Danio rerio: one gene and its partners. The protein of the gene in region 7 purifies or fractionates together with the protein of the main gene of each other region. This does not show direct contact. Links are inferred from orthologs where the notes say so. Each region holds a gene or a part of one and is shown on either strand. Other genes may lie near its edges. The genes, in order: snrnp200, ttc27, ptges3a, eftud2, zgc:103692, prpf6 and aar2.

What was found.
Region 1: the proteins of aar2 (region 7) and snrnp200 purify together in Homo sapiens (affinity purification with mass spectrometry; 5 studies listed by BioGRID and IntAct, counting the BioPlex papers as one, with this or other methods). This does not show direct contact. The link is inferred for Danio rerio from reciprocal best matches to the Homo sapiens genes AAR2 and SNRNP200.
Region 2: the proteins of aar2 (region 7) and ttc27 purify together in Homo sapiens (affinity purification with mass spectrometry; 3 studies listed by BioGRID and IntAct, with this or other methods). This does not show direct contact. The link is inferred for Danio rerio from reciprocal best matches to the Homo sapiens genes AAR2 and TTC27.
Region 3: the proteins of aar2 (region 7) and ptges3a purify together in Homo sapiens (affinity purification with mass spectrometry; 3 studies listed by BioGRID and IntAct, with this or other methods). This does not show direct contact. The link is inferred for Danio rerio from reciprocal best matches to the Homo sapiens genes AAR2 and PTGES3.
Region 4: the proteins of aar2 (region 7) and eftud2 purify together in Homo sapiens (affinity purification with mass spectrometry; 5 studies listed by BioGRID and IntAct, counting the BioPlex papers as one, with this or other methods). This does not show direct contact. The link is inferred for Danio rerio from reciprocal best matches to the Homo sapiens genes AAR2 and EFTUD2.
Region 5: the proteins of aar2 (region 7) and zgc:103692 purify together in Homo sapiens (affinity purification with mass spectrometry; 3 studies listed by BioGRID and IntAct, with this or other methods). This does not show direct contact. The link is inferred for Danio rerio from reciprocal best matches to the Homo sapiens genes AAR2 and C9orf78.
Region 6: the proteins of aar2 (region 7) and prpf6 purify together in Homo sapiens (affinity purification with mass spectrometry; 3 studies listed by BioGRID and IntAct, with this or other methods). This does not show direct contact. The link is inferred for Danio rerio from reciprocal best matches to the Homo sapiens genes AAR2 and PRPF6.

What each region holds. Positions count from the first base shown.
Region 1 is NC_133183.1:33,096,688-33,100,360, reverse strand, and holds the end of snrnp200 (U5 small nuclear ribonucleoprotein 200 kDa helicase), read left to right. Parts: intron 1-578; coding exon 579-755; intron 756-1,849; coding exon 1,850-2,010; intron 2,011-2,117; coding exon 2,118-2,199; intron 2,200-2,492; coding exon 2,493-2,585; intron 2,586-2,706; coding exon 2,707-2,856; downstream 2,857-3,673. Other genes in the region: odf2b (outer dense fiber protein 2b), read right to left, coding at 3,457-3,621. UniProt on the Homo sapiens protein: Catalyzes the ATP-dependent unwinding of U4/U6 RNA duplices, an essential step in the assembly of a catalytically active spliceosome. Plays a role in pre-mRNA splicing as a core component of precatalytic, catalytic and postcatalytic spliceosomal complexes.
Region 2 is NC_133192.1:24,118,535-24,122,902, forward strand, and holds the start of ttc27 (tetratricopeptide repeat protein 27), read left to right. Parts: upstream 1-1,501; 5' UTR 1,502-1,668; coding exon of another isoform or gene 1,669-1,741; 5' UTR 1,742-2,135; intron 2,136-4,368.
Region 3 is NC_133198.1:29,970,496-29,975,038, reverse strand, and holds the start of ptges3a (prostaglandin E synthase 3), read right to left. Parts: upstream 3,152-4,543; 5' UTR 2,982-3,151; coding exon 2,980-2,981; intron 858-2,979; coding exon 744-857; intron 1-743. UniProt on the Homo sapiens protein: Cytosolic prostaglandin synthase that catalyzes the oxidoreduction of prostaglandin endoperoxide H2 (PGH2) to prostaglandin E2 (PGE2).
Region 4 is NC_133178.1:15,073,218-15,077,078, reverse strand, and holds part of eftud2 (116 kDa U5 small nuclear ribonucleoprotein component), read left to right. Parts: intron 1-3,519; coding exon 3,520-3,713; intron 3,714-3,861. UniProt on the Homo sapiens protein: Required for pre-mRNA splicing as component of the spliceosome, including pre-catalytic, catalytic and post-catalytic spliceosomal complexes. Component of the U5 snRNP and the U4/U6-U5 tri-snRNP complex, a building block of the spliceosome.
Region 5 is NC_133180.1:33,916,941-33,921,578, forward strand, and holds zgc:103692 (telomere length and silencing protein 1 homolog), read right to left. Parts: upstream 2,872-4,638; 5' UTR 2,787-2,871; coding exon 2,707-2,786; intron 2,521-2,706; coding exon 2,461-2,520; intron 2,345-2,460; coding exon 2,293-2,344; intron 2,171-2,292; coding exon 2,100-2,170; intron 2,019-2,099; coding exon 1,941-2,018; intron 1,848-1,940; coding exon 1,650-1,847; intron 1,531-1,649; coding exon 1,394-1,530; intron 634-1,393; coding exon 535-633; intron 440-534; coding exon 345-439; 3' UTR 194-344; downstream 1-193. UniProt on the Homo sapiens protein: Plays a role in pre-mRNA splicing by promoting usage of the upstream 3'-splice site at alternative NAGNAG splice sites; these are sites featuring alternative acceptor motifs separated by only a few nucleotides. May also modulate exon inclusion events.
Region 6 is NC_133198.1:7,086,565-7,091,178, reverse strand, and holds the start of prpf6 (pre-mRNA-processing factor 6), read left to right. Parts: upstream 1-1,491; 5' UTR 1,492-1,540; coding exon 1,541-1,731; intron 1,732-4,614. UniProt on the Homo sapiens protein: Involved in pre-mRNA splicing as component of the U4/U6-U5 tri-snRNP complex, one of the building blocks of the spliceosome.
Region 7 is NC_133198.1:4,218,208-4,222,027, reverse strand, and holds part of aar2 (protein AAR2 homolog), read left to right. Parts: intron 1-221; 5' UTR 222-223; coding exon 224-980; intron 981-2,781; coding exon 2,782-3,011; intron 3,012-3,820. UniProt on the Homo sapiens protein: Component of the U5 snRNP complex that is required for spliceosome assembly and for pre-mRNA splicing.

The DNA of each region.
Region 1 (3,673 bases), on a different chromosome or scaffold from region 7:
ACTTTCGGTAACATAATAAATATCTGTGCTGTCACTTTTCATCGGTTTAATGCAGCGATGCTAAAAAGAAAAATTCATTAAAAAAATTCTTGCCCCAAACCTTTGAAAGTATACCACTATTTTCACATCAGTAACAGAAAATGAAGAAACAAAAAAAAATGTAGAACATATTAGACATCTTAAAAAAAAAACTAAAGATTTTTGTTTATTTCAAACATTTGACCAGAAATCTTTATTTTTATCAGACAAAAGATGCCATATAGTTTTATTTTTAAATTAGGCATACAGTCAGGGTGCACATAAGAGGTCTGTATGCACAATATAAATTACGTTTGGCAATCAAATATGGCACTAGAGAAGTGCTTTTGCAGACCACTTTAAGTAATGTAAAATCAGTAATTGTATATTTGTAATATAAATAAATGTGTTAACTTCCGACCGCAGAAGCCTTCTAGCTGCTCTTCATCTCAAACACAGTCATCTTCCCCCCGCACATCATCTCAAACATCATTCCTTTTTTTTTGTTATGTTGACGTTCATATATTCAGTGTTTCTAAAGTTCTGGTGTTTGTCTTCAGGCGGTGCGTCTGATCCAGGCGTGTGTGGACGTGCTCTCCAGTAACGGCTGGTTGAGTCCAGCACTGGCTGCTATGGAGTTGGCACAGATGGTCACGCAAGCCATGTGGTCCAAAGACTCGTACCTCAGACAGCTGCCACACTTCACCTCTGAACTCATCAAGCGCTGCACAGACAAGGTAGACTCTTTAAAGAGATAATTCACCCAAAAAAATCTAAAAGTCTGTGTCATTTACTCACCCTCATGTGGTTCTGAATTTTTTTTTTCTTTTTAACACTAAACAAGATACACTCAAAAATGACTTTTTCTGCTTGTTCAGATTACTTATTTAAAATGAATCGTTTCATGTTTAATCCACTTAAATTTGTAAAAACGATTACCGTAATCGATTTGAGTTGGGACAACATGAAGAACTTGTGTAGAACCATACCTGTCAACATTGGGATGTGAAAATAAGGGATAACAATAATAAGGGATACCCCCTCTCCTTAAAGTCCCTAAATAAATAAATATGTTCATCTGTTGCTGTTTTAATGTAAATTAACATTTAAATTGGTATATTTTATTATTATTATTTACAAAATAAATAAATAGTTTGCATTAACAGCAAATAAATTAACAAACATCTTATTAAAATTAATAGCTGTTATAAATAAATAAAATCAAGTTATAAAATCTCAATCTTTTGTTGACTGTATAACTTACTCATTCTGATAAAAGAACACTGAATGAATCTCATTTATTTAGATTTTTTGTTTGATTACATCAATTAACAGGTGTCACTGTAAAAAATGCACACATCTAACATTAAAATAAAAGCATTCGATTACTTGCTTTATATGCTCATTTAGGACTAAATGAATTGTAATTGAAAAGAAAACCCCGCCATCATCGACATTATTGGATGTTATTATTATTATTATGTGTATATATCTGTTCAAACACGCACTCAAAACCCAGACTTTTGCCCCGTTTCAAACCGCGTGTACAGAATCTGTTTGCGAAACAATGTCTCTTTTTCACTAGGAAGCATGTCAGTTGACAGTCACACACTGCTATATGAATGTTTTGAGGGTGCATAGAAGCGATGGCCCCTGTAATGAAAAGAAAAGGGAATCCCGCTGTTTTTATATTTATTTCAGTGTTTGCATGCCTAAATAAGATGAAAGCACAGAAGAGTCACATTTAAGAGCAAAGCGCCACCCCTGGTGGTTTGGCGGTATGGTTTTGTGTGACTGTCTATGTTTTGTTGATGTGTGTGTGTGTCTGTAGGGTGTGGAGAGTATCTTTGATATCATGGAGATGGAGGATGAGGATCGCACTGGACTCCTTCAGCTCTCGGATGTCCAGGTGGCAGATGTGGCTCGTTTCTGTAACCGATACCCCAACATTGAGCTCTCGTATGAAGTGGTTGACAAAGACGACATCAAGAGGTGCAAACTCTTTCTTTTGAAGATGCTTAATATAGTGTGGTTGTACGAAACACAGAATTTTTTCCATAATCAGCTGGAGGTGTGAATGAGTGTTCTTGTGTTTGCAGTGGGAGTCCAGTAGTGGTGCAGGTGCAGCTGGAGAGAGAAGAGGAGGTCACAGGCCCCGTCATCGCCCCTCTCTTCCCTCAGGTCAGTGTCTGTCGGGATATTGAAATAATTATGAACAATACAGCATTTAATAATCATAGTTTAACATTTACTAATGCATTATCAACATCCAAACTCATGCTTATTAACATTAGTTAATGCATCATGAGTTAACATGAACTAAAAATAAACAACCATTTTTTCGTTAACAAACAATGAACATTGCACTTATAACAGTATTTGTTCATGTTAATAAATGCATTAATTAACACAACCTTATTGTAAAGTGTTGCCCAATGAACATGAGTTAAATAATATCTTGTCCGTTTGTGCAGAAACGTGAAGAAGGCTGGTGGGTTGTAATCGGTGACCCCAAATCAAACAGTTTGATCTCAATCAAGAGGTTAACTCTGCAGCAGAAGGCCAAGGTCAGTCCTGCTCCTCTATCCAAAAGCAGCAGAATATACATTCTCACACGTTATTTTAGACTTTCTAAATGTACCATTTAAAACTTTCTTCAACTACAGCGTGCTCTCTCTCTCTCCACAGGTGAAGCTGGACTTTGTGGCTCCTGTGGTCGGTGTGCACAACTACACCCTGTACTTCATGAGCGACGCTTACATGGGCTGCGATCAGGAGTACAAGTTCAGCACAGAAGTGAAGGAGGCTGACAGTGAAGGAGACAGTGACAGTGATTAAGCCCACAGTAGACGGACGGTTTGAGCCCATTAACTTTTTTTTTTTATAAATATTTTTGGAGGAATAACGTGACTGTTAAGTTCATTGTGATTTGAATAAAGATGTACATTGGAGAGTTGTCGCAATGATGTTTTATTAAAAAGTTAACAAAACAAATTCAAGTACATTATCGGTAAAAAGAACTGCATCATGAAAAAAGATTGACTTTTATTTTTCCTCATGTTATTCCATAACTTTTCTAACCTTATTTCCAGTGGACAGATATAAAATGAGAGCGCTTTTACATTTTGTCTCTCTGCATTAGTCATTTTTTGTTTAGTAAAGTTATCGTAAAAAATGTGATGCCATTTCTTTCCAAATCCAAATTTAAAATCACAGTGTTCTTATTTTCCACAATACCCATGTTTTAACTTGGAATAACCTTGATTTTTCAGTCACAACAAATAAATAAAGACCTTTATAAAATGAAACAAATATTACAATTTTACTGAAACACATGCGTAGTGAATCCACAGGATTTTTCCCCAGAGACAAAAAAAAATCATCGGCATTTCGGCATGACATGAGGATTAGTAAATGACAGACTTAACATTTGATAAATCAGATGTGTGGATTGAGTGCGCTGGTCAGCGAGGAGTCTCCAAACACATCAGCGTATGAAGCTTTAAGGTAGTTGACGTAGTTCTGCAGGCTGCGGTTTGAGCTGTTCACCTGCTCCAGCTGATTCTTCATGTCTTGAAGTTTACACTGAAATCTCTTCTCCATCTGAAAAAGGAAATGCAAACCATTTCTAAGAGAGTTTCATTTAAAGAGACAC
Region 2 (4,368 bases), on a different chromosome or scaffold from region 7:
TCAGGTGGCATATCTGTGTGATGTTTGCGTAGGTTTCCTCTGGGTGCTCCAGTTTCCCCTACAGTCCAAAGACATGCAAATCGATATAGGTGAATGGGGTATATGCACACAGACTTTCAGTCAGCCAGCCTCAGGGCTTTCGGTTAATTGTCATCCCATTCAAAATAGTTGTGTTTAAGATATGATTTCTTCAAAAGAGAGAAATCTGTATTTTCTTCACTGCCTGGCTGAGATATGATATAAAGTGGGTCTCAGACCAAACAAGAAGCACTACTTTCAATTATATATATTTTTCCGCGTCATGTCTTTAAAATATGAAAATTAATTTTACCCCAGTATTTTCATTGGAGTTTCTGTGCTAGCCTGCTGCTGATGACAGCGCCTGTGTTTAAACAGTTTTTCGTCTCTTTTTATGCTTTAACAACTAAATGAATGCTTGAGTCTATTTAACTGATTATATTTGAACTAATTTACAACATTGATGCTATAAAAGGAACCTTTTGAAATTGAAAACACTCACATAAAGCTTTCACTGGAAGTTCATAATTGGCGGTGGAAAAAAATAAATTGCTGGGTTTTTTCCAGCACTGTGGGTTCCGGATATAGCTTTAATAGCTTTCTCTCACTGCTGGCTTCTAGCTGGAAAGGCATCCTCCTCATTAAACATTTGCCAGAGTAATTGGTGGTTCATTCCACTATGGCAACCCCTGATAAATCAGGGACTAACCTGAAGGTGAGTAAGAGATGTAGCTGTGCTAATTAATATTCAAATTCAACTACAAATTATTTTACACACTGTCATATACTTTTATGTTTCCTATTATGTTTGTAATTAGTTCCATAATTTAGACTATATTATATTATTGTAGGGCAACACGGTGTCGCAATGGGTAACACAATCGTCTCACAGCAAGAAGGTCGCTGATTTGAGCCCCGGCTGGGTCAGTTGGCGTTTCTGTGTGGAGTTGGCATGTTCTTCTGTGTTGGCATGGATTTCCACCGGGTGCTTCAGTTTCCCCCGCAGTCCAAAGACATATAGCTGAATTGGCTAAGCTAAATTGGCCATAGTGTATGTGAGTGTGTGCAAGAGTGTGTGGGTGTTTCCCAGTGTTGGGTTGCGGCTGGAAGGGCATCTGCTGTGTAAAACATGTGGCGGTTCATTCCGCTGTGGCGACCCCAGATTAATAAGGAACTAAGACGAGAAGAAAATGAATGAATGAATATATTATTTATTATTTATTTTTTATTTGACATTAGCATATTGTTTGATGTGGCCGACACGTCGGTGACTTGTTCAAGAACAACGCTTTATTGTTATCACATTCATTAACCTAATAGAAGTAAGAAAAAAGAAAAGACGATAAAACTGAAGATAGATAATCTGCTTTTACAATAAGCTGTTTATCAACAGTGAATTTACGTTGCGCTCATTTGCGCGTCTGGTCAAATCTCGACGCTCCCTTAGCGCTGGCTTATTAAGTATCCCATAATGCACCTCGTCGCTGTCATGGCTGCTCACTGATGACACTTGCGGCACATGGGCAGAAATCTAACACATTACAGTGAACACACGAACCTCAACACGAGTCTCACACTCACACAGAGAGCAGGTCCTGAGCGACGCGACGCTGTTTCATTCTCCGCGGAACCGGGCACACAAGGAGCGCGATGCTGCAGCTCGAGGCGGCGGTTCTGGGCGGATTGAGTCTGGACTGGAAACAGAGCAGCTTCAGCACCGCAGGTGAGAGACAACGGCATGAGAGCCCTGAGTTTGGGAAATCGGCCGACTTTCAGTTGAACGCGGCGGTTATGACAGATGTTGATGCTGTCGTGCAGCTGTGGAGGATTTCAGGGCTTGAATCTGCTCGGTTCTTGTTGTGGATGATGAGTGTTGCGCGTGCAGTCTGTCTCTCACGTGGTGTAGATGTGCCGCATGTGTGTTGAAATCGGGACTGTGTCCAGACAGACCGAAAGACAGACAGATGTGAGTTTCCGCTGACCGTGAACTAACCGGGCGCGATTTGACAGCAGAACTTCTGTGTTTGATAACTGACCGTATGGAGGGTCAGTGTGGGCATCGGACATCATGAGGACAGACAGACAGACGCGTGTTTATCTATTCTGTTCATGTTGAGGTGAGAGAAAATTTAGTCTACTGTTTTAGAACAAAGCTGGGCTGCACCTGCATGTAAACACCCGACTGTGTTATTTCTAGTGGGCGTTCACTCAGGATGCGTTTATGACAACGGTGAAGGAGCGCAACACACCGTGAGATGATTGTTATTTATTACTATTATTATTTATTGTTATCATTATTAATTTATACCGAACATAAATAGTGTCATGATTTACAAAATTAAAATAGTCATTTACCGGTTGCTAAAGCCTAATGCGGATATGGGACGGAAAACCGTATTAAATAGTCGGACAGCGGTTCTTGCTCTTCTCTTACAGCTACAGATTCCACAGCGCGAAACATTCAGCAAAATCAAGTTCAAGTCTGGAGCACTGGACTGTAATGTCAGTCCAGTCTGTTTATAAAATCAGAACCGATCGCTCGTGTAGCTCGATTCCGAAAGCATAACGAGTTAATTTTAAATTACTAAAATCCTCGGAAACATACAATTCAATTTGACATTCCTAGTTCGATTCCTGAACAGAAGAGTCTTAAGAGTCGATTCTTTTTTGTAAATCAAGCAAGCACTTGATCCGTTCAGGGCAAATGAATCTTTTATTTGGTTCATTATAACACATGGAAATAAAATGTTTATAATGTTTTCTGATTCACTAAGGTAGTGTGCTTTATGAACAAAGGGATCTTTTTTTGTGAAGCAAATCAATTAAATAGTTTTTTTGGATTTCTATTCAATTAACCGTTTTAGTCATTTTTTAAGCGAATCTAAATGTAGCGAAGTCGAATATATTTAGTACAACAATTCTGTATTAAAAAGTGATTCTTTTAGTAAATTTGGAGGTTAAGTGTAATTTTGACGTTTGAGTTCAGATTTATTATGGAAATTCATAAATGATTTGGAGTGGATTCTTTTATTGAAGTAGTCTGGTACCTTAATAAATGACTCTTCTGAGTGGATTTTTTTTTAATGGAATAAAATTCAGGCAGGTAATAGTTTTATTACTGAATATTTCAATAGTATTAAAAGATAATTTTTTTAAATTGACTTATGCAAATTTTCAATGGGCCTATTACAGTTTCCGAACAAGTTATTTCAGCTTAATCTTAATATTTTGCTCAATTACAGTTGCGATTTCAATTTAATGTATTGTTCTTTCCTAATTAATAGCTGATCCTTCTAGTGATTCAATGCGCATACTATCTATCCTGAGTAGTATTTGAAAATAGAATTAGTATGTCTCAAACCATAGTAGGTTGAAAAGAGTATGCCAAAGTTTCCCAGATAGTTTACTATTTTCGGTTACAATTTTAAGTGTAGAAGAGTCCATACTCTTAATTGCTAATATTGCCCACAATACATTGCATGTTAGATAGGAATTGGATTAAAACTACAAACGTGGTTCAAAAGTGTAAATAAAACTACAAATATGGTTGATGCACAAAACCTACCGTTACTTTATTTGACTCACTTACTGAAATGTTCATCATTGTTAAAGCTTGACTCTGAATTGATCAAATTCAGGCAGGCAATGTAGTTTTTGTACTGAACATTTCAAGAGTATTAAGAGATCATTTTACAGTGCAGTTCCTTAACAAATGAAGCATTTAGATGCAAAAACCCAATGAGCATTTTTATTAGGCTCTTGTGTGTATGTTTAGTAATACCACTTTTATGGCAAAGAATATGTAATTTTCCTGATTTTTAAAATGAAATATCTTAACATAAACAAAGAAAGCTGAGAAAAATGTTCATTTTTGATTAAAATTTCAGACGGTGCTTAAAGGTTTTTGCATCTGAACTCTTTAATGGACTCTTTTGAATCTGTTAATTTATGTTGAGCCCAAACATTGAGCATGACAGTCTGATTCCTGAACGCACTGTATGATTTGGTTGAAACTGCAACACTATTAACCAGTTAATAATCATTCGGGATGTTTACTTTATTTGACTTGCTTACTGAAATGATCATCATTGTTAAAGCTTGACTTGAATTATCCAAGGTCAGCAACCATATCATTGATGGTCTGAGGTTGTTGGCTCATAAAATGTATTTAGATTAGGCTACTACTTTTGATTACATGTGTAGTCTACAATCCATGACACTGATAGTTTGAGATGTGACATATTGGCCAACATGCAGTTAAAATGAAACGCCAGAATGCATCTTAGTGTGAATTGCCCTATTAGTCATTATTGAAGGATGTTGTTACCTTGCTTCTAATTTCATGCATTA
Region 3 (4,543 bases), about 26 Mb from region 7:
TAGTCACATCGCAAGATATGCAATGTTGAGTTAGGATTATAGATGACCAGAAACCACATTTCAAAACAAAGATATGTTTAGACACTGCTTAATTTAATCATAATAGAGTGAAAGTTTATCATCTGCATGTGTTTTTAAGGCCTGTGACTATGTGAGCATTCATTCATTCATTTTCTTTTCGGCTTAGTCCCTTTATTAATCTGAGGTCGCCACAGCTGAATGAACCGCCAACTTATCCAGCACGTTTTTACGCAGCGGATGCCCTTCCAGCTGCAACCCAAAAAGACTATGTGAGCATTTTACGTTTAAAGCATTTTAGTTGTGCATAAAGAAGTTTAATAAAGGTTATTTTTATTAAATTACTTGTATAATGAAGACTATGCAATGTTATTTTACATTTGACATTTTACATTTATTTAATTTCTGTACCTGAATACTGTTAGATTCTCTCCAGAAAACATGGTTTAATTTACTTTCATTTTTGCACCATTGTGTTGATATATGAATGTAGTTTGTTTATTATATGTATATAATAAATTACATTTAAAATATATATTTATATTTCACACCCCTACACAATCATCCCAATCACACTAAACTAAAGATTTTGCAGATAGAGCTATAACTGTCATCTGGTGAAATTGAATTTATATCGCAATATACATCGCAGAGAAAAAAATGCAATGTAAAATGTTTCCAAAATCACTCAGGCCTACTATTAACAACTTAAAACAAGGATGTACCTGAAATCAAGCTTTGTTTTGTCAAATTTAACTTGGACATCTTTGCTGTCTTCTATACAAAACTCGATGAAGACAGCTTCCCGTCTGTCATACCACTTGGCAGTAGCTGGCTGCCTGCAAAACAAAAAATGAAAAGCAATGTTTTAGAAAAGGCTTCAGTCTAACTCCACTTTAATATGACATTCAAAAACACAATATCACTTAATTCTAATGGAATCCATGAGGAACTGAGCAACCAGCTAAGTGCATTTGTTAAAAGTCAAACTCCACACTAAAAGTGCAGCTCTAAATTAACATGTGCGGGCAGGAGGTCCTGGCGGGGGTGGAGCAACAATGACGTTACCGTGGCAACCTATTTGTATCAATTGGCAGGATCATGCATGGCTTCTTAACAATCTACCTAAGGCTTAACCCATGTAATACAATTATAGCAAAACCAGGCCTCTGTAATAAAGGGCTGCACAATAACTCCTATTTAAATCTGGAGTTTATTTTTATTGCTGTAGTTATAAGCAGGGTTTCTGTAGGTTTCATTAGGTTAAATGTAAGACTTTTAAAGACCTTTTTATCATGAAGGAAATTTTAGACTTAAAGCTAAATGCTAAGGATTTTTTTTTTTCGAATATCCCAGTTGGAAAATTTTTTCACTTGCCCTCTCAAAAATAATTAGAATTTAATACATTTAATAATACAATAATAATAATAATTTAATAATAACAAATATAGGTCAGGTGGTCAGTATCCTCAGCAGTAAATAAATGGGCGAACTTTTTAAAAACAATTACTGTAAGGAAAGTAATTAAACAATGATGGTAAATTAGTTCAAAATGCAATTTCTAAATGAAAAGTTTTGTTGAGATTGTTGGTGATTGTATGAGTGTTAATGGCCAGATTGGGAAGCTATACATGAACAGAGGAAAATTAAGAATGTTAAAAAAGATTTAAGACATACAACACAATATTTCAGTTGATTTGGGACTATTTGAGGCCTAAATTAAAATTTTTGAGATTTAAGACTTTTTAAGACCTTGTGGATACCCTGTATAGGATACAATAAAACAGTCATTCTAAGTAACTTTTTAATTTTAAGGCTTTAAAAAGTAACTTTATAACTTTGATTCTTGGAATAATTCACCCAAATATTTAGAATTCGCACCATTTTCTCTCCCTTATGTGGTTAAACCTTTAAGTATTTTTCTTTTGTTAAACACAAAAGATGTTTTAAAGAACTATAATTATTAACCTCCATTGTAGGAAAAAAAGCACAAGAAGTCAATGGTTACAGGTTTCCAGCTTTCTTTAAAAAATCTTTTGTGTCTAACAGAAGGAACTCAAATGTCTGAAACAATTAAAGGGTGAGTAAATGAAAATGTTTGCGTGAACTATCCCTTCTAAGATTAATTTTCAGCATCATTACTCCAGGGTTCAGTGTTTTACGTGATCATTCAGAAACCACAAGATGCTGAACATTTATTATTATATTACTATATTATTTATAAAGGAGATTTGGTTCATATTTTTTAATTTTAGCATTTATCATGTCCATACATGCATTTAAAAAGATGGTGTATCATTGATCGCAGCTGAAAACCTTTCAGCCTTGCTCTGCTGGTTTAGCCTGTAGACTGTTAACCAGCATGACCTGAAGGAAAGTACTCAAAACCATCTCACAAACCTGTCGTGTAAAGCTGGGATGACAAACTAAACCCCTTCAGTTGGCCAAATAGCCACCCAACTGATCTCCAGCATGGAAGACCAGCATAAACTGGCATTAATACCTTCTTAAACCCGTTCAAACAGCAAACATGACTTAAGCATGTTCTTTTCCAATAGGGAACACCCAGCCTGCAAGCCTTGATCTGTAAAAGGTTGATTTATATGACACATATATTGCTTGTACATTCTACAATAATGCATATGAAGCATGAATAGATGAACAGAATAGAATCATGCCATAGTAGCTTGCAGTAACCCCAGGCCTAACTATCTAGCTGCTAACCAGCTAGCTAAGCTCTGCTGTGGGGACAATGTGTGCTATTTCCACCACCAATTACCACTAGACGTTTTTCTACACAAATTCTAAGCTTCTTCACGAGGAAGATTCGTATTGTCCTAAATGTTCATACATGATAGTTGGCGTATGAGAGAGAATCTGGTGTTTCGCTGATAAAGGTTATGCACACATTTGCTAACTAGCTAAAGTTAGTGCATCCCTATGACTGCCGGTCAGACTCACATGTCGAATTCTCCTTTCAGTGTTCACCCAAATCTGCGTCTCCTCTCGCGTCCTCTCGCCTGGGGTAGTGTTTTGGATTTGTGCTGTCAGATCACAGTGAAGGCATACAGACGGAAGCTATAGCTGTTTATGCGCCGCTGTCAACCTGCACAAGGAGTGCGCGTGTCTCTACACACTGGCGCGCAGTGACGCATCAGCTCAACGTTTCTAGCGACTTCTGCTGCGCGCCCCCAGCCATGCGCGTTCCCTAAGCAAACACGTCTCCATAGTAACGCAGTGCTCGCTCCCCTGCTCGCTCCGCCTTGACAGTACAGTACAGGACGTCCACTGATGCAGGGCCACACAAATCATACGTCATACTTTTTCTTGAGTCAGAATGAAATTGTTTTGTCAGGATCCTCAGGCGTACTACACTAGGCGAAATGAATGAAGTGCATGTGCATTCACATGTATTTTATAAAAAGCATTTAATTAAATATTAATAAATAAATACAAATATCTGTCAGTCTGATAAAGGCAACACTTAAAGAACTGCAGATAACAAACGAAATAAGGTAATAATACAAATGATACCAATAATATTAATACTTTAGTAGACATTTGTTATATTAATAGTGATGATAATAATAATAATTGTAATAATAAAACAACAAATTATGAAAAATTTGTAATATTAATAATAATAGTAATAATAATTTATCATTATTATTTATTATTATTTATTATTATTATTATTATTATTGGCAGCATGGTGGTACAGTGGGCAGCACAATCGCCTCACAGCAAAAAGGTTGCTGGTTCAAGCCACGGCTGGGTCAGTGGAGTATGTGGAGTTTGCATGTTCTCCCTGTATTCGCATGGGTTTCCTCCGGGAGCCTCAGTTTCCCCCACATGTCCATAGACATGTGATCTTGGCTGAGTAAGCTAAAACTGTCTGTAGTGTATGTGTGTGAATGGGAGTGTATGGATGTTTCCCAGTGATGGGTTGCAGCTGGAAGGGCATCCACTGCTTAAAACATAAGCTGGATAAGTTGACGGTTCATTCCACTGTGGCGACCCCAGATTAATAAAGGGACTGAGCCGAAAAGAAAATGAATGAATGAATGAATGAATGAATGAATTATTATCATTATGATGATGATGATTATTATAATAATAATAATTATTATTATTATTAATAATAATAATAATATTAATAATAATAATAAAATAACCATGACACATTATTTACAATAATAGCAATGCCATAATGACAATAATTATTGCTATAAACAAAACAACAACAATCAACATTATTATTATTATTATTAATACTACTACTACTAATAATAATAATAATATTTATAAAAACTTATAATTTTTGGTTGTTGTCTGCGGATTTTTAACAGTTAAGGTATATAGATGGATGAATGTGCTATTTTTATTATTATAATTATTAATATATTATTATTAATATCTATCTATCTATCTATCTATCTATCTATCTATCTATCTATCTATCTATCTATCTGTCTGTCTGTCTGTCTGTCTGTCTGTCTGTCTGTCTGTCTGTCTAATAAATAGA
Region 4 (3,861 bases), on a different chromosome or scaffold from region 7:
GTCTTAAATTATTGAAATATTGTCTTGTGGGGGTTTTAAATAATTGTAAATAGGTATTTATTGTGTACACTGTGTACATGTAAAACTACCAAATCGAGCAGACAGACACCCATCCAATCCCCAATAGTCCATCTCAACAATTTTTTTTCCAGAACTATATTATAATAGTTAATGTAATAGTTTTATAACCAGTTTGGTTTAATTATTTTCCTTACAAAAATACAATTTGTTTAAAAGTTGTCATTGTATTTATAGATCATAAATAAATAGGGTAAGATTTTTGTCAGACTGTTATGCATACATTTAGTTTATTATAGTTTTAGTAGTTACGTTATTTTGGCTGTAGTTACACTGCACAGTTCAAGTGACTCAGTCTGGATTTTTTTTTTCCTCCCATGTGGCGCAGATGGGATATGGTCCACGTATGTGTAAGCAGGAAAAAATCACATGGATTCCAATTTACTTGAATCAGATTCAGGCCTTGTTCATATGTGGAAAATTTATCCGTGCCTTCATGTCTGCTGTGTAAACAGGTAGATCGGAGTTTCAACTGTCAATGCGAGTCGCCCGTCATTAAAAACCATAACGTATTACGTCAAGTCTGACACTTTTCTTTCAGAACAGACTTCAGCAGTCGCAAACCTTAAATCTCATACACGAGTACTAAAAAAGCTTTTATATTGTTTTGTAGCACAAGAATTTAAGTATGTTAATGAGAGAAAGTGAGCGAGTGCAATATCTGCCACGTAACCAATATAAACTAATATAAAACTGTGGTATACATCTCATGCAAGACATTACATTAAGATGCCTACTGGTTTAAAAAGACCTAGATTAAACGAAGATGGCCAAATGAGAACTTTTTTGTCATAAACGATAGTAAAAGAACTTGTCAAAAAGAATTTAACAATATTAAAAAGTCCTGTCAACAGATTAACTACAGGAACGGAGTAAAGAGCGTTCTTTTTTTTTCCCCAGTTCATTGCGCCTTCACCATGTGCTGTGTAAATGCAGACAATCAGATACGAGTCACTTGTAAAAGATGATGTAAGCTGTTTAACAAAAAAAAGTGATACAGTCACAAATTTATCGACCATCAATATGTGCAGTATAAATGCAGCCTTTGAAGGAAATGTATGTATACAACTGGGGTTTGCTTGTTTTGACATTGTTTAAAATAAAAACAATTTAACAATTTACTAATTAGACTCATTTTTATGATTGGGGAAAAAATAGAAACAATCTTTAATGTTTGTCTTAGCATAAGTCTGAAGTTTATTTCATAATGGTCTTAAAGGGGTGGTCCAGAATGTTATTTTTAAGGCTTGGTTGTGTTAATAAGATGCAAAGCAATGTGTGCTCATGTTTAACTTGAAGGAAATCGTGTTATTTTTTCATAAATCTCACTTTGATTATACACAGCTACTCAGCTAACATGAAAACGACTGTCATATTTCCTAGTTTCTCTAAAAGGCCCACCCTCAAGTGACTCTGATTGGTCATCATCATAATATGCTGTGATTCGCCGATCGGCTCCACGTCACGCCCTGACAAGCACGCGCGTTTTTGTGTAAACAGTCAGTCAGTCAGTCAGTCAACACGTGTCTGTAACGAGTGAAAATGGGATGCGGCTCCTTTAACTGTTTCTGTGCCTTTTAGTGTGTTTATGCGTGTATACGATGAAGTATCTGTAACACGAGAAGCGCATGTGCGCGGGAGAGATTTTTATTGTTCTTTTTCTCTCATGCTCGGATTAAGTTATTTTCTGTGGTGACAGAATAAAGCACAAGATGTGAGATGAGACCTTTGTGAGCCTGGATTGATTTGTTTTTGATGTTACACTCCAGTTGGGAAATCATTGCTGTATTTTTTTTAAATCAACGCGTTACAGAACGTCTTTCATGCATATGCGGAATATGCCTGTGTAAGTAACATGAATCGTTCACATATCTTTTGCGACTTTATTGTCCGAGTTGTAAAACGCATAGCATAGCTGCCTATAGAGAGAAACTCTGCCGTCTCCCACAGAGAGACGCAGGTGCTGGCCAAGAGAGCGTGTATGTGTATGTGTGTGTGTGCGTTTACAGCCGTTTGATAAATATAGATTTGTAACGTTAGCTAAGTCGTTAGCGGTTACCATAATTTCCCGTTGTTTACATCTTTGCTACAACACACCGTTAAAGTTAGACACTGTACATGTCATGATCAATTTTAACAAATAAAAACACTTACAGGTCATGACTCAGAGTTCACAGCGTCTCCTTGCTCCATCTTTGAGGAGATTTTAACTGAATCCAGCACTGAACTGGGAGAGATTCTGGAAGCTGTGTTTTGTCAAATCATGCTTGCTATGTATTTTATAGTTCTCTGGAACATAATTAATATTGAACTGTAAGCACTTCTGTGTTTGGGTCGTGTCATTTGGAAGCCCAACAACAGAAACAGAACAGCTATGTGGAAACAGCAGGATGGCATTTCTCCCTCTGCAGTAACGTTACAGCGCCTCTGGCCACGGCCTTTACCTGCGCAGTGTGGGATGCGCAATAACGAACTTTTGTGATCTCACAGGGGGCGGAAGTATTTTTTGTAGTCCCCAAAATTCGTTAATTGTAGGCGTTGCTAAGCTAACTCTGTACAAATCAAGGTCTCCCTTTGCATTAAACTTTGAATATTTTACATTTAGAGATGCTGTTTATGTTCACACAGCTACATTACACATCAACTGAAGTTTAAAATATAATATCGTAGTGGACCACCCCTTTAAATAGTCTTTAATTTGACTCCGCTAACCCTTTAAGAATCTGTAGTATTGTGAAATATTAATATAAAATAGTAATAAAAATAATAAAATAGATTTTTTTCTAAAACGTTTTAGCAGTCATCATTAATCCAGTTTATTGGTGCTTAAGAAATATTTTATATCAATCTTGAATACCGTTTTAATTTTATTTCAGTCGACCATGATGCATTTATTTCAGGATACTTTGATGAATAGAAAGCTCCAAAACAGCAATTTTTTTAAATGGAGTTTTGGTCAGTGTAATGATAAATCAGTTTCCTTTTTCACTTAAAATGTTACTTAAAAAAAATAAAAAAATTTGAGAGGTGTATATTTTAAAAGAAATTGGCACAAATAAATGTAAATTTAAATGTAAATGTAAAAAAGTTTTTGTATTGTGGATGCCACTGTAGTTCTTACGGGTGAATATTAATAAATAACTGTTTATAACTGATTATTCTGATTATTTGACTTGTTAAATAACTGATCATGCATCCACTGCGTAAAACATATGCTGTAATAATTGGCGGTTCATTCCGCTGTGGCAACTTCTAAAAAATAAGAGACTAACCAAGAAGAAAATGAATGCATAACTGATTATTTGAATGCTGTGCAAAACTGGGAGAGACAGTGTGTAAAACTATAAATTCTAACTAATGTTAAATGATTTCTTTGTCTCTCCGGGTGAATTATCCAATCACTGAATTTTGCCATGTAAAATGTTTGCTTTCTTGTCGAAGGGTCCACTGATGTGCCACACCACTAAGATGTACAGCACAGATGACGGCGTTCAGTTCCACGCGTTTGGTCGGGTCCTAAGTGGAACCCTGCAGGCAGGTCAGCCCGTGAAGGTTCTGGGAGAAAACTACAGTCTGGAGGACGAGGAGGATTCTCAGATCTGCACTGTGGGACGCCTGTGGATTTCTGTCGCCAGGTGAAACTCACACTAATTTAGTCTGTTTGCTTGGAATATATCTGACTCCATTTACTGAAAAAGGAAATAGTCATCATTATCAATTTCTGTCCAATAAACTGTTTTATAGCTTGGAATATCTAGATTTAAAGACATTTTTTAAGTATTC
Region 5 (4,638 bases), on a different chromosome or scaffold from region 7:
GTTACAGTATTTCATTATCAAATCCTGTAGAATAACCGTTTAATAAGAATAAAGTTTCATACATATGCAGTGATTGAGCATTTATGTGGAACTGTTCTACAATCATTATATAATTATGAAATTGAACAATGCGCTAAATTTATGCAACTAAAAGTTTTTCTGTTATAAAATATTTTCAAAAAACTACCAACAATTTGGGTGAAGTTTTATTGTAAAAAGCTTATCGTAAGTTACAGATATTTAGCAGAGACATTTTTTTAAATATAGTACAAAGTATTTACATCTTTCAGTTTACAGAAAGGAAAAACAAACTCCATCATGGTAACTGAATTATTAGTGAAGGATTAATATCGTCGGTTCATTTTCTTAAATTTCTCATAGTGGTAGTCATCTGTGGCCTTCTCGTTATTGGGTCTCTTGCGGAAATTGGGTGGTGAGGCTGGAGACCGAAAAAAATACACCAAATCATATGAACATGAATACATTAAAAACAGCAGGGCATAAAAGCTGAAGAGGTTTTCAATCTGATCTTACCCTCAGGTGCTGGTTTCTCTGTGTCTCCTACACGCAATGGCCTGGCTTTAGGCTCTTCTCTGTTGCGTCTTTGGGGCGCGTTTGAATCCTCATGGTAGACTTGACAAAATAGAACAGATGATGACTTAATCTTTCTTCTTTGGGATAGCAAATGTTTTAAATATGGTTCACATTTTACTGTTTACTTATTTGTTAGGCATAGACAGAGCTGTTGATAAAAGCTTACACTTGAAAACAGATATGGTTAGTGAACAATTTTGAGAAATCAATCATTGGCCTTTTCTTTGTACAGTTTTGTTACAAAATGTATTTTAAGTAAATGCTCTGCTTTTGAAATTTACATTAATTTCCGTTTTTTTTAATATTGAAAGATAAATGTGTAAATTAGGCACCAAATCATCGTATTAGAAAGAATTGTGAAGAACTGGACTAATGTTTGCTGAACAATTCAGCTTTACAATGAACAATTTACAACATTTTTTTATAATCTTAAAAACCTGATTATGAAAAAAAGAAAATGAGTGCAATTACAGACTGCAAAAATATTTCACAAGATTACATTTTTAAAGGGATACTTCTACTCAAAAGTTTTTTAATTCTGCCATCATTTAAATCAGCCTTCACTTGTTCAAAACCAAAACACAAAGAAGCCATTGACGATGATGGATTCCAGCAATCAGTTTTCTTCAAAACATCTTCTTTTGGGTTCAACAAAAGAAAGAAACTAATAACTGTTTAAAACCACATGAAGGAGAACAAATGAAAAAAAATGAACTATCCCTTAAATGTGAGCATAAGAGACTTAAAAACATCTTACTGACAAACGTTTGAACAAACAGTTGTTTGTGTGTACACTTACAGCGATTATGCTGGACGTAATTGACCGCAATGTTTGTGGGAACAAAGGAGGTCCCGCTGTCTTTCTTCTTATTCCTCTGCTCAGCTAGCAGCTTTGCTTTGGCTTCTTCTGTGTTGATGATATTCTTTATCTTTGCGCTGAGAAGAAAGAGAGAAAAGAGGCTTTTAGGTTGACATCAATCATTTGTTTGTTCTGAGCCACCAGTCTAGAGAAAACAATAACTGATGTCCATGAATTAGCTTGTGTCTTTACTCACTCAATCCCCAGATCCACCTCTGGAATTCCGCTCAGCATCTGATTGGACAACATCTCTTCTGTCTTTTTGGCAGAGCTGACGTTGATGTTCTCTGGAAGCTCATACAGGAGGTCCTCTGGATTCTTCACCTTTACCTTCTGCTCCTCTGCCTCCACCATGCCTTTCTTTTTCTTTAACTCTGTCTCAATGTACTTCATCCTGCGTGAAATGAGATGCATGATGGGAGAGGCTTTAAACATAGTGACAAAACCAGCAATGCAGAGAGTATGTGATGTAGAAGCATGCACTTACATGTCAGCATCTTCATCTCTTCTGTTTGTCTCGGCAGAAAAGGATGTACCAAGATTGAGGTCATTTTCATCCACTGTCCTGTAACAAAAGAGGAAGTGTCAAGATGCAAATATAGAGACATCTTGAAATGAAAAGCTAACATGTTTACTTAATTCTTACATGTCTCTGCTTCTGTCTTTCACTTTCTTCATGTCAACAACACCTCCAGTCTTCAGTTTAAATGGGTCATCCTATGACATAAACATGGAGGGACAAAATGTCAAACCTCTATTAGCTCATAGAGAAGAACAAAGTTACACTGCAAGGCTTGTATTGTAGTGCAAAATGTAGTTTGATTAAAATAATAAAACACCTCAAGCTCAGCCTCTAAAGGAAGCTTCTCTCCAACAAGTAACGTTGCAATGCTGGACAAACAGAATGGAAAATAGCATTTATTATTCTCACTTTAATTACACAATGAAAAGAAAGAAAAATGTAAACACCACCAACAGTAACAACCACAAAGCAGCTCATGACCAACCTCACTCCATGCTGCCTTTTTCGCAGACTCTGTAGCTCCTTGGCTTCATCCAGTTTTGACCTGGGTAAACATATAATAAAAGTAACATCTTTAAATAGTTTTTCACATTCAATAGGTTTCTGTCCTCTCTGAATGCATGTACAAACTAAACAAGTCAGCTGCATTAATCTTTTCTGCTCGTTTTACCAAGCGGTTTACAACAGCTGTGTTTACTTTGTTTGGCCTGAATGTGTTGAATATATCTACCTGACTACGAATTTTGTTTCATCATCTTCCTCGTCGGATGAATCCTCTTTCCTTCTTCTAAAATTTTTACCTGGTGGCATGACTTGTTTTTAAAACTCGTCGAATTATTTACTGATAAGCGTTACGTTACCCCTCGTCCGTCTGTACGCAACGGTGGCGGTCTATGTTTAGTGACGGACCTCATTCTCTAGAAACTTCCGCTCGCTGGCATCACATTTGTCGTCTTAACAGTTGATCTCAGATCAGCTTGCCTGTTTTTTGTACAGCCGTTGAACGGCGAAAAGCGGAATGATGAGACTGGTTCTAGATCAGCTGCTTCTATGACACGATACAGAAAAACAAAACAAAAACGGCGTAAATTTAATAATAAACACTCTATACGATAAATGAACGTGTAAAACAAGCAGTATGTGTATTTTATAATCGAAGTAAATAAAAAATTATTTGATCATGCTAAAGAACGAAATGCGCTCATTGGCTGTGGTCAAAGCCGTGACGCACGCTTCTGCTGTATTCAGTATGGATGCTGCTTAGTAGTAACGTTACACTGCTTCCCACCACTGTTACAAACACCTCCGATTGGCCTAAAATGACTATCTATGAGCGATATTTTTGTTTCTGTATGACAGGTAAATATCTGTTTCTGTCTTTCCTTTTGCTAAATCGGACTGTCACTGTTGTTTGATATGATAACATCATGTCGACTCAGCGTATGAATAGTGTCTTGCAGACCGAGTGGAAATATGGCCTGTTTATTCTGCAAGATCGTGATGTTAAACAGCTTTTAGGTGGTTCACCGTGACGTATTTGAGGACTGCTGTGTGTTTATGAACATAATAAACACCGAAGACGAAGAGGAAAAACTATTTGTTTTGTTTTAGATATTATGTTTTAATTCAGATGAATTGTTTGCATTACATTCATATTAACGCGATTGTTTTCTGCGTCGTTTCGGACTTCAGTTGAAGTTAGTTTTCTAGTGAAAATTTGATTCATAGAATCATGTTTTTTTATATCAATTATTGTATATTTCCCTTGCTGTAATGGAGGTGTTGGTACGGGACGAATGTTTTTTTTTCCCATCAACTGACTAGGCGAATGAAACAGCAATTTTGGCCTCTTAACAGTTCTAGGCAGAAACATAACACACATTGAGCAGATATGCTAGATAGATACCATCCTCAATACTCTATAAATATTTTTAAATTTTTATACTTATAAAAAAAATATTATATAATATGGTATATATTTCCGTTAATATCTATTCAATGAGGGCAGATTTTTATTTATAATTCTCACTGGTAATGAGAGTGTAAGGTTCTTATGGGGACAGTTTATCAAATAATTTTGTCATCATTTCATATTAATGAAAGTTTATGGTTTCTGACTTTTTGATTTTTGTTAATTTTGGAGAAAGATTTTTAAAAATCAATGTTATTTACTGTATTGGTGCTGCGCAGTCTCAGAGCTGTACCAGACATTCTTAAAGGGTTTGTTTACCCCAGAAATAAAATAAAAAGAAAGGATTATTATTCAACCTCATGTTGTTCCAAACTCCACAAGACCTTTATTCATTTTCAGAATACAAAGTAAGATATTTTAGATCAGGGCTGCACAATATATTGCTTCAGCATCGATATCATGATCAGTATTACACAATAGTCACATAGCAGGATCTATGCTATGTTGAGTTTGTTTTTGATGCCTGTGATTGTATAATGATTTTAAAAGCATTCAGGTATAAGAAATTGTACAACTTGTGACCTTAACTACTTTAGTTTTTATCATTCAGTTACTGCACTTAAATATTTTTAGACTCAAAAAACGATAAAATACTTTATTTCAATTGTATCTTTTTCTTAATTTTATTTATAGATTGTTATTCATGAAAATACCCACAACACATTCAAATACAGAAATACTCTGCAAATA
Region 6 (4,614 bases), about 2.9 Mb from region 7:
AGCACCCACAGAAACGCGAACGGGAGAACATGCAAACTCCACACAGAGAAATACCAACTGACCCAGCCATGGCTTGAAACAGCAACCTTGCTGTCGAACCAATTTAAACAAACAACTTAAATTTAGTAGTCACAAGTGTCTTCTGTTGAACATTGATTCATTAATGTTCTTTTTGGCTTAGTCCCTTTATTAATCTGGAATTGCCACAGCAGAATGAACCGCCATCTCATACAGCATTTGTTTTACGCAGCGGATGCACCCGGAGCAAACACGGGGAGAACATGCAAACTCCACACAGAAATGCCAACTGACCAAGCCGAGGCTTGAACTAGCGACCTTTTTGCTGTGGTGCGACAGCACTACCTAGTCCGCCACCGCATCACCCTCTTCTGTTGAACACAGAAATGTAATTTTAAATGCTGTAAATCAAGAAACCCCTGATTTCAGTTTTTAACATTGTTTGAAATATATTTGTGTGTGTGTGTGTGTGTGTGTGTGTGTGTGTTCAACAGAAAAAAGTAAACTCCTAAAATTTGGAACCACTTGAGGTTAAGAAAGTATATCAGTGAACTAACTTATCCCTTTAAAATGAAAGAGAAAGAAAGACTGCGGTTCACTCACAATTTGTCTTATTTTCCCCTTTCATGTCACGTAATTCAACCCCAACAGTAAGCACAAAGAAAAGAAAAGGTAATTTCCAGAGAGGCTTATAATTTCACTTATAATTTTTTCTTCTTTTTCTCTTTGCCATTTCTTTTCCTTTCCTTATAGCTATTTTAATGTTAAACTTAATTATTACCACAATTATTAGTTACATTTGCCTCATTCCAGCTATTTCTAATTATATATTTTGCTTCCTCTGTACATTTGTCAATATATCTTTGGTTATTTTCCAGCATTAAAACTTTTTTTCCGTTGTTGTGTGTAGTTGTATTTAATGACAGAAAATGTTCTGGTTTGGTGTTGAATATCTTATATTTAAACTCAAAATTAAAAATTCAGTTTTCTTGTCAAGATATTTTTTAGATTTTCAACAATAATAACAAAACTTTGGAGCAAAAATTGTTTATTAATTTAATGATAATATGCAGTATGTGAAGTACCATGTACACAAACAAAAATGGTCCAATGATAAGCCTAATATTCATTTGTTTAAAATTAAATTAAATTTAAATAGAAACCCTAAAAGACACAAAAAATATAAAAAAGCTATAAGAATGTATGCAATTTTGAAATCCTTTTCTTATACAATTTTTTTGTAATTTCTATATCCCCTGTAATTTTATTTTTTATTATTTTTTTTCTCTACTGAGTTGTTCCTTTGATGTAAAAAACATGTAAACATTGTATTCCTCATTTTTGTATATAATAATTTAAAAAATAAATAAATAAAAGGTAAATTTAGGTTAAGCTACTTCACTCTGCCAATCCTGTGAGGGCGCTGTTTTTGGCATCGACAGGTTCCAAAAGAAGACTTTTATGTTGCAGGAAACGCGACAGTGTTGTTCCGGAAGTGGAGCGTGTTGTCGTCAACGCATCGATGGCGAGCTCCGCAGCGAAACAACCCCCCAAAAATGCAAGCAAAGCCCCGTCCGGAGGGGCCGGCGGGGCTGCGGCGGGAGCAGCGGCAATGCCGCTCGCTTCTCCGCTCATGGGAGGCTTGAACAAGAAAAAGAAGCCGTTTCTCGGCATGCCTGCACCGCTGGGTTACGTACCCGGTCTGGGCAGAGGGTGAGATCCATACATTCAATATATACAGGCGGCAAAACAACACAACACGTGTTATTATTTATATTAGCATTAACTTACCTGACATTCCGACATCTATATAAATTTGTAAACATTATCATGTCTAGCTGATGTGTTGAGGCTGCCATAATTTTAGCTTGTGTGTAACGTAACTTAATATAATGTGTTCTGTCTTGATATTTTTTGACGTATTTTGACGTAATTGTGTTATTTTTTCACACATTATAATGTTTCATTATAATAATTTAATACATTATAATAATACAAATATAATGTACAAATACATTATAATAATACATTATAATAAACTTGTCACTACACTGATAATTTTATGCTATAATAATAATGCAGCAAAACATTAATATAAAATATTGTTTTAGTTTACAGTCATTGTTTCATAACATTAGATATACTGTAAAATATATAGATTGAGATCAAATTGATTTTATATTCACACTGAAATTGTTCCGAGGCGACTTGTGACATAGAGGTAAAGTTAGTTTTATATTGGGATATTGAGACATTCTCCTTAATAATACAATGTCAGAAAAGTATGTTTTGCAAATTCTAAATAGTGAAATCATATTAGCAGCAAATGACTATTAAAGTACAGTATTGTTTACAGTTAGATAGTGCTAATGTTGTTTACAAGTCATACTTGCATGCTAATTCCGATCCAATATTCAAAGTAACATTGTAAACAATATAGAGACTGCTAAATGAACAAATGTGCGAATATAAATCCAACTTTACCTCCATACTTGTGACATGCTCCCTGTATTTTTTACCATGGTACATTGAATATTGGGTCTAAAATCATATGTAAGTATGACTTCAAAACAGCATTAGCACTGTTTGTTTGACCATGAGCAATGTTGTACTTTGATAGTTATTGACTGCTAATATGATCTTACTGTTTAGTATTTGCAAAGAATACTTTTCTGAAATTATGTTAAAGACAAATTCCGAATGTATGGATCTAAAACCAATTTTACCTCAATAATTTAAAGTTTAGTCCTATGTAGGCGCACAATTTTGTATGTAGGTACAATTTTGGTTTTATATTCACAAATTCACACTTTTCCCTTCTTAATATAAGTTCAGTAGTGTATTCTTTGCACATTCTAATTAAGGGGATCATATTAGCAGCCAATGGCTATTTAAAAAGTAGAACATTGTTCACAGTCAATTGACCTTATTCTAAGATGCGAAAGTGCGCCTGTTTTTGCGATTGTCTTAGAACTTCCGATTCAGTCGCCTATGGGAGAAATGACTAGGAATAATAAACGGCAGAAAATGGCCAAACTACTTGCTCAACAAACAAATGTTTGCATGACTACACAAACCAAGTAGCATAATATAATAAGAAAATAATAAATAGTACTACTGTTGTTTGCATGTGATTTCAGACTGAATATTCAAAGTAGCAGTAAACCATATTGGGGCTTCGTCACAAATTGTCACTGTACAAAAATGAGTGAATGTGTGAATATAAAACCAACTTTACCCCAATAGCCATTAGTGTGATTTACAGTATCATGAAGGTGTTGTGGGGAAGTTTTCTGTAATAGCGTAATAACAAAAATGAGTCTACAGTTTCTAATTTCCTAGCTTCAATCTATATCAATGTTTGGAGTACATCAAATGTTTCAATCCTCAGTTCACCCAAAAATGTAAATTTCCTCTCAATCAAGTGGTTCTAACCGTTTATGAATTACTTCTGTTGACACAAAACAAGATACATTGAATAATTTGGAAATCAGGAGCTATTGATATCCATAGTTGAATCAAAAATACTATGGAAGTCAATAGAGTATATGCCGAAGCATGTTAATAGGACTTTTAATTTGCCAGTAAACTGGGTTAAGCGCTTACGGCGAATTGAATGTCAATGCAAAATCCGGTGCGTTTAAGGTTTGTTTTCTTTAAAAATCAGAGATCTCCACTAGCTGAGTGATATCCGATTTAAAGTGGGTCTCAGATTGTACAAGAAGCACTTCATTAAATTACATTTCCCCCGTCATATGTTTATAATATGAGCATTTATTTTACCCCAGTATATTCAATGTAGCTTCTCCCCTAGCCTGCCGATTCTGACGGGCGCGTGCGAGTAAACAGCTTTTTGTCTCGTTTTACGCTTGAGCAACTAAATAAATGCTAAAGTTTATTTAACTGAATGTATTTTAATGACATTGCAACATCGATGCTGTATAAGGAACCGTATAAAATGGAAAAAAGTTCACAATAACAGGTCACCGGAAGTGTATCAGCATGGGAACAGCACTAGCTCGGCATATACCCTATTGCTGCTTTTTTCCAGCATTCTTCAGAATAACTTGAACAGAAAAAAGAAACTCAGATTTGGAACAAGTGGAGAATCAGTAAATGATGACAGAATTTTTATTTTTGGGATCAATTTTTAGGGTTTTATAAACTTTTGTTAACGCCTTGGGAACATCAATAATCAGGAAGTAGTTGGATTTTTTACAAAAGTTGCCTGTGACAGCAGCAATCTGAATATTTAATATGTAACAGCATTCAAACGCTTAATAATAATGAATCATTATTCACTATTTGCTGAAATGCCCACATTGTAAATATACATGTTCATTATGTCAATATGTGGTTTCAGCATTGGCATCGACTCATCAGCAATAGTCATATCGCAGAATCTGCAATGTTGATTTGGGATTATATAGTTTAGGATTATAAATATTAAGATTTAGGATTATATAAAATACATGAGATTTGTTGAGTTTATGTACTTTAACCTTAATGGAGTAAAAGTTTTATCATTTGCACGTTTTTTTTTTAATAAAGTATTTCCAAATAGAGCTATTCAAATCATCTGGTGAAATTAGATAT
Region 7 (3,820 bases):
GATGAGGAGATTCCCCCAAAAGCACTTTACACATGCTTTGAGTGTCCAGAAAAGCACTTTATAAATGTAAGGAATTATTATTATTATTATTAAATAAAATCAGCTTGAAGCTTGAATTAAATCGTAAATCAAATCGCAATCACAATGTCTGTCAAAAAAATTGCAATTAGATATTTTCCCCAAATTGCGCAACCCTACCTCAATCTATTTATTTTCTGCAGATATGGCGGGAACAGACATGGACCCTGAAGTGGCCCGAGGGTTGTTTGAAGAAGGCGCCACGCTGGTTTTGCTTGGAGTTCCTGAGGGAACCGAACTGGGACTCGACTACAAAACATGGACTTTGGGTCCTCGTTTCCGCGGGGTGAAGATGATTCCCCCGGGGCTTCACTTCCTCCACTACTGCTCCGTCAGCACCAATGGAGGCTGTGGGGAAATCAGCCCCAAAACTGGCCTGTTCCTGTCCCTGAAGCCTCGGCAGGTGCTTGTAGCGCACTGGAACAAGAGCGCAGATGATTTGGAGATCTCTCAGAACTCGGAGGAGGTGGAGCGCGTACGGGGCAATCTGAAAGAGCTGGACCGGTATTTAGGGCCGTACCCCTATGATACCCTCCGCAAGTGGGTTTCTCTCACTGACAGACTCAGTCAGGAGGTGGCCGTGGCCCTGCAGCCCCTCAGCGGACGCGTGTGCGCTTTCAGCGATGTCATCCCGGAGCTGCAGCTGACTCACACTAAAGATCGGGTCCAGCAGAACCTGTCCCGCAATGATCAGGAGTGCCAGAGTATGAAGGAGGGCCTGGACCGGCTGCCGCGGATGAAGCAGAGGGAAGGCACAGAGCTGCGGTTTTCCAGCATCCCCAAGCAGGCATATCCTCCTGGGGCAACACCCGCTCAGATCACCCAGTACAGCATGGACCGCAGTTACATTCTCAACGCGGTACTGGAGAGACATTATAAAGAGCAGCCACTCAATGTACTTGGTGAGGATTAGTTTACTATTCAAATATCAGTATAAGACTACTATCCAAATATCGGTATAAGACTACTATCCAAATATCGGTATAAGACTACTATCCAAATATCAGTGTAAGACTACTATCCAAATATCAGTATAAGACTATTATCAAAATATCGGTATAAGACTACTATCCAAATATCGGTATAAGACTACTATCCAAATATCAGTGTAAGACTACTATCCAAATATCAGTATAAGACTACTATCCAAATATCGGTATAAGACTACTATCCAAATATCAGTGTAAGACTACTATCCAAATATCAGTATAAGACTACTATCCAAATATCAGTGTAAGACTACTATCCAAATATCAGTATAAGACTACTATCCAAATATCGGTATAAGACTACTATCCAAATATCAGTATTAGACTACTATCCAAATATCGGTATAAGACTACTATCCAAATATCGGTATAAGACTACTATCCAAATATCAGTATAAGACTACTATCCAAATATCGGTTTAAGACTACTATCTAAATATCGGTATAAGGCTACTATCCAAATATCGGCATAAGACTACTATCCAAATATTAGTATAAGACGACTATCTAAATATCGGTATAAGACTACTGTCCAAATATCGGTATGAGATTACTATCTAAATATCGGTATAAGACTACTATCCAAATATCGGTGTAAGACTACTATCTAAATATCGGTATAAGACTACTATCCAAATATCAGTTTAAGACTACTATCTAAATATTGGTATAAGACTACTATCCAAATATCGGTTTAAGACTACTATCTAAATATTGGTATAAGACTACTATCTAAATATCGGAATAAGGCTACTATCTAAATATTGGTATAAGACTACTATCCAAATATCGGAATAAGGCTACTATCTAAATATTGGTATAAGACTACTATCCAAATATCGGTATAAGACTACTACCCAAATATTGGTATAAGACTGCTATCCAAATATTGGTAAAAGACTACTATTGGTATAAGACTACTATCTAAATATCGGTATAAGACTACTATCTAAATATCGGTATAAGACTACTATACAAATATTGGTAAAAGACTACTATTGGTATAAGACTACTATCTAAATATCGGTATAAGACTACTATACAAATATTGGTAAAAGACTACTATTGGTATAAGACTATTATCTAAATATCGGTATAAGACTACTATACAAATATCAGTATAAGAGTACTATCCAAATATCAGTTTAAGATTCTGATGGTATGATAACCTTGGATATAATATCACAGTATTGTGATTACTGCTCTAAAATAAATTCTTTTTTTGCTGTGATTATCTTCACTCATCAGAGTGGCAGGGCTATTTACACATCCATATTGTTGGATTTATTGCTATCATTATTTTATTAATGAGGTACAAAATCAGTCTATATATTCTTAATTAATTTGGCCTAATAATGCATAATTTTAATAATGCATCATGCCATGTTTAAACCGTATATGCTGCAGGTGTCTTGCCTTGGCAATAAAGCTTGTATAGTCTATCAGTGGAAAATAATGGTGCGTTTATTGTGATATGAATCAATCTAATATCAGTCACCATGATTTTTAAGTGACTTTCTGTGAGAACAACTTGAATTGCAAAAATGTTTAATTCAGATGCATCGTTTCATAGTTGTTGTTTTTTTTATCAACACTTTGCATTTTAACACACCTATTGAGACCAGCTTTACACACATTCATTAAGTTATTAAATTCAGTTGTTAATTACTGTAGTAAAAAGCTAAATAATAAAAGATTTGTGTCACTCTTGTAGGAGAGCTGCAGTTTGCGTTCGTCTGCTTCCTGGTTGGAAACGTCTACGAGGCCTTCGAGCACTGGAAAAGCCTGCTGGCTCTGCTGTGCCGCTCTGAGGAGGCCATGAAGGACAGGAAGGAGCTTTATCTTGGCCTCATTGCTGTCCTCTACCATCAGCTAGGAGAAATCCCTCCAGACTTCTTCGTGGACATCGTGTCTCAAAGCAACTTCCTCACCTCCACACTTCAGGTATTATTCACACAGTTCTCTGAGCTTAAATAATTGACAAAAGTAGAATAGGATCAGTTTTTCAGGTTATACTAAAGTCAACTTAAAGTCATATTTATTAATATGCTTTCTTGATAGGTTATTGTGCACGATTCACCAATGATCAGTCACAGAACAAAAAAAAAGAACTTGATTCCTCTTCTGAAACAGTTTTTCAATTTGGTTTTTATGAGCTATTTATATGGAACAAAATCAATGCCAAAAGTATTGAAATAAAAAGCTTTTCGAATAGCACTAACTGAAAAAAATACAGTGAATTAACAACTGCTTGCATTTTAGTGACTTGAATTTCCAGGATTTGTAATTTTAGGTTTTGAAATTGAACACAGTTCTTTATTTAAGCTGTGAACATTTCAATTCAAAACACGATTTCATGCTTAAAGGGCCATGAAACCCTCCTGATTCAGCAGGGTGTTTTCACACCTCTAGTTTGAAAAAAGTCAAGAAAGTGGGCATGTCCAGCTCTGTTTAGGGGGAGTGTCGGAGGAGGGAAAGAGGGAAGGTGCATAAAAATTTGCATAAAAATGGGAGTTTCGTTTTGGGCATGCACTGATTTTCACAGAGGCAAAACAAACACAGACGCAAGAGACAAAGACAGTGACTGTTTACATGGAGATCAGTAATCAAATTATTAAATGGTGGATTTTAACTGCAATTTGGCTCTTTCATTCAAGAACATTTTGACAAATGAGATATGTGATTTGAGGAACTGCTGGAAGCGTTTATTTTTAATGCAGTGTTTGTTACTGCACGGTGAATGAAAAAAAAAA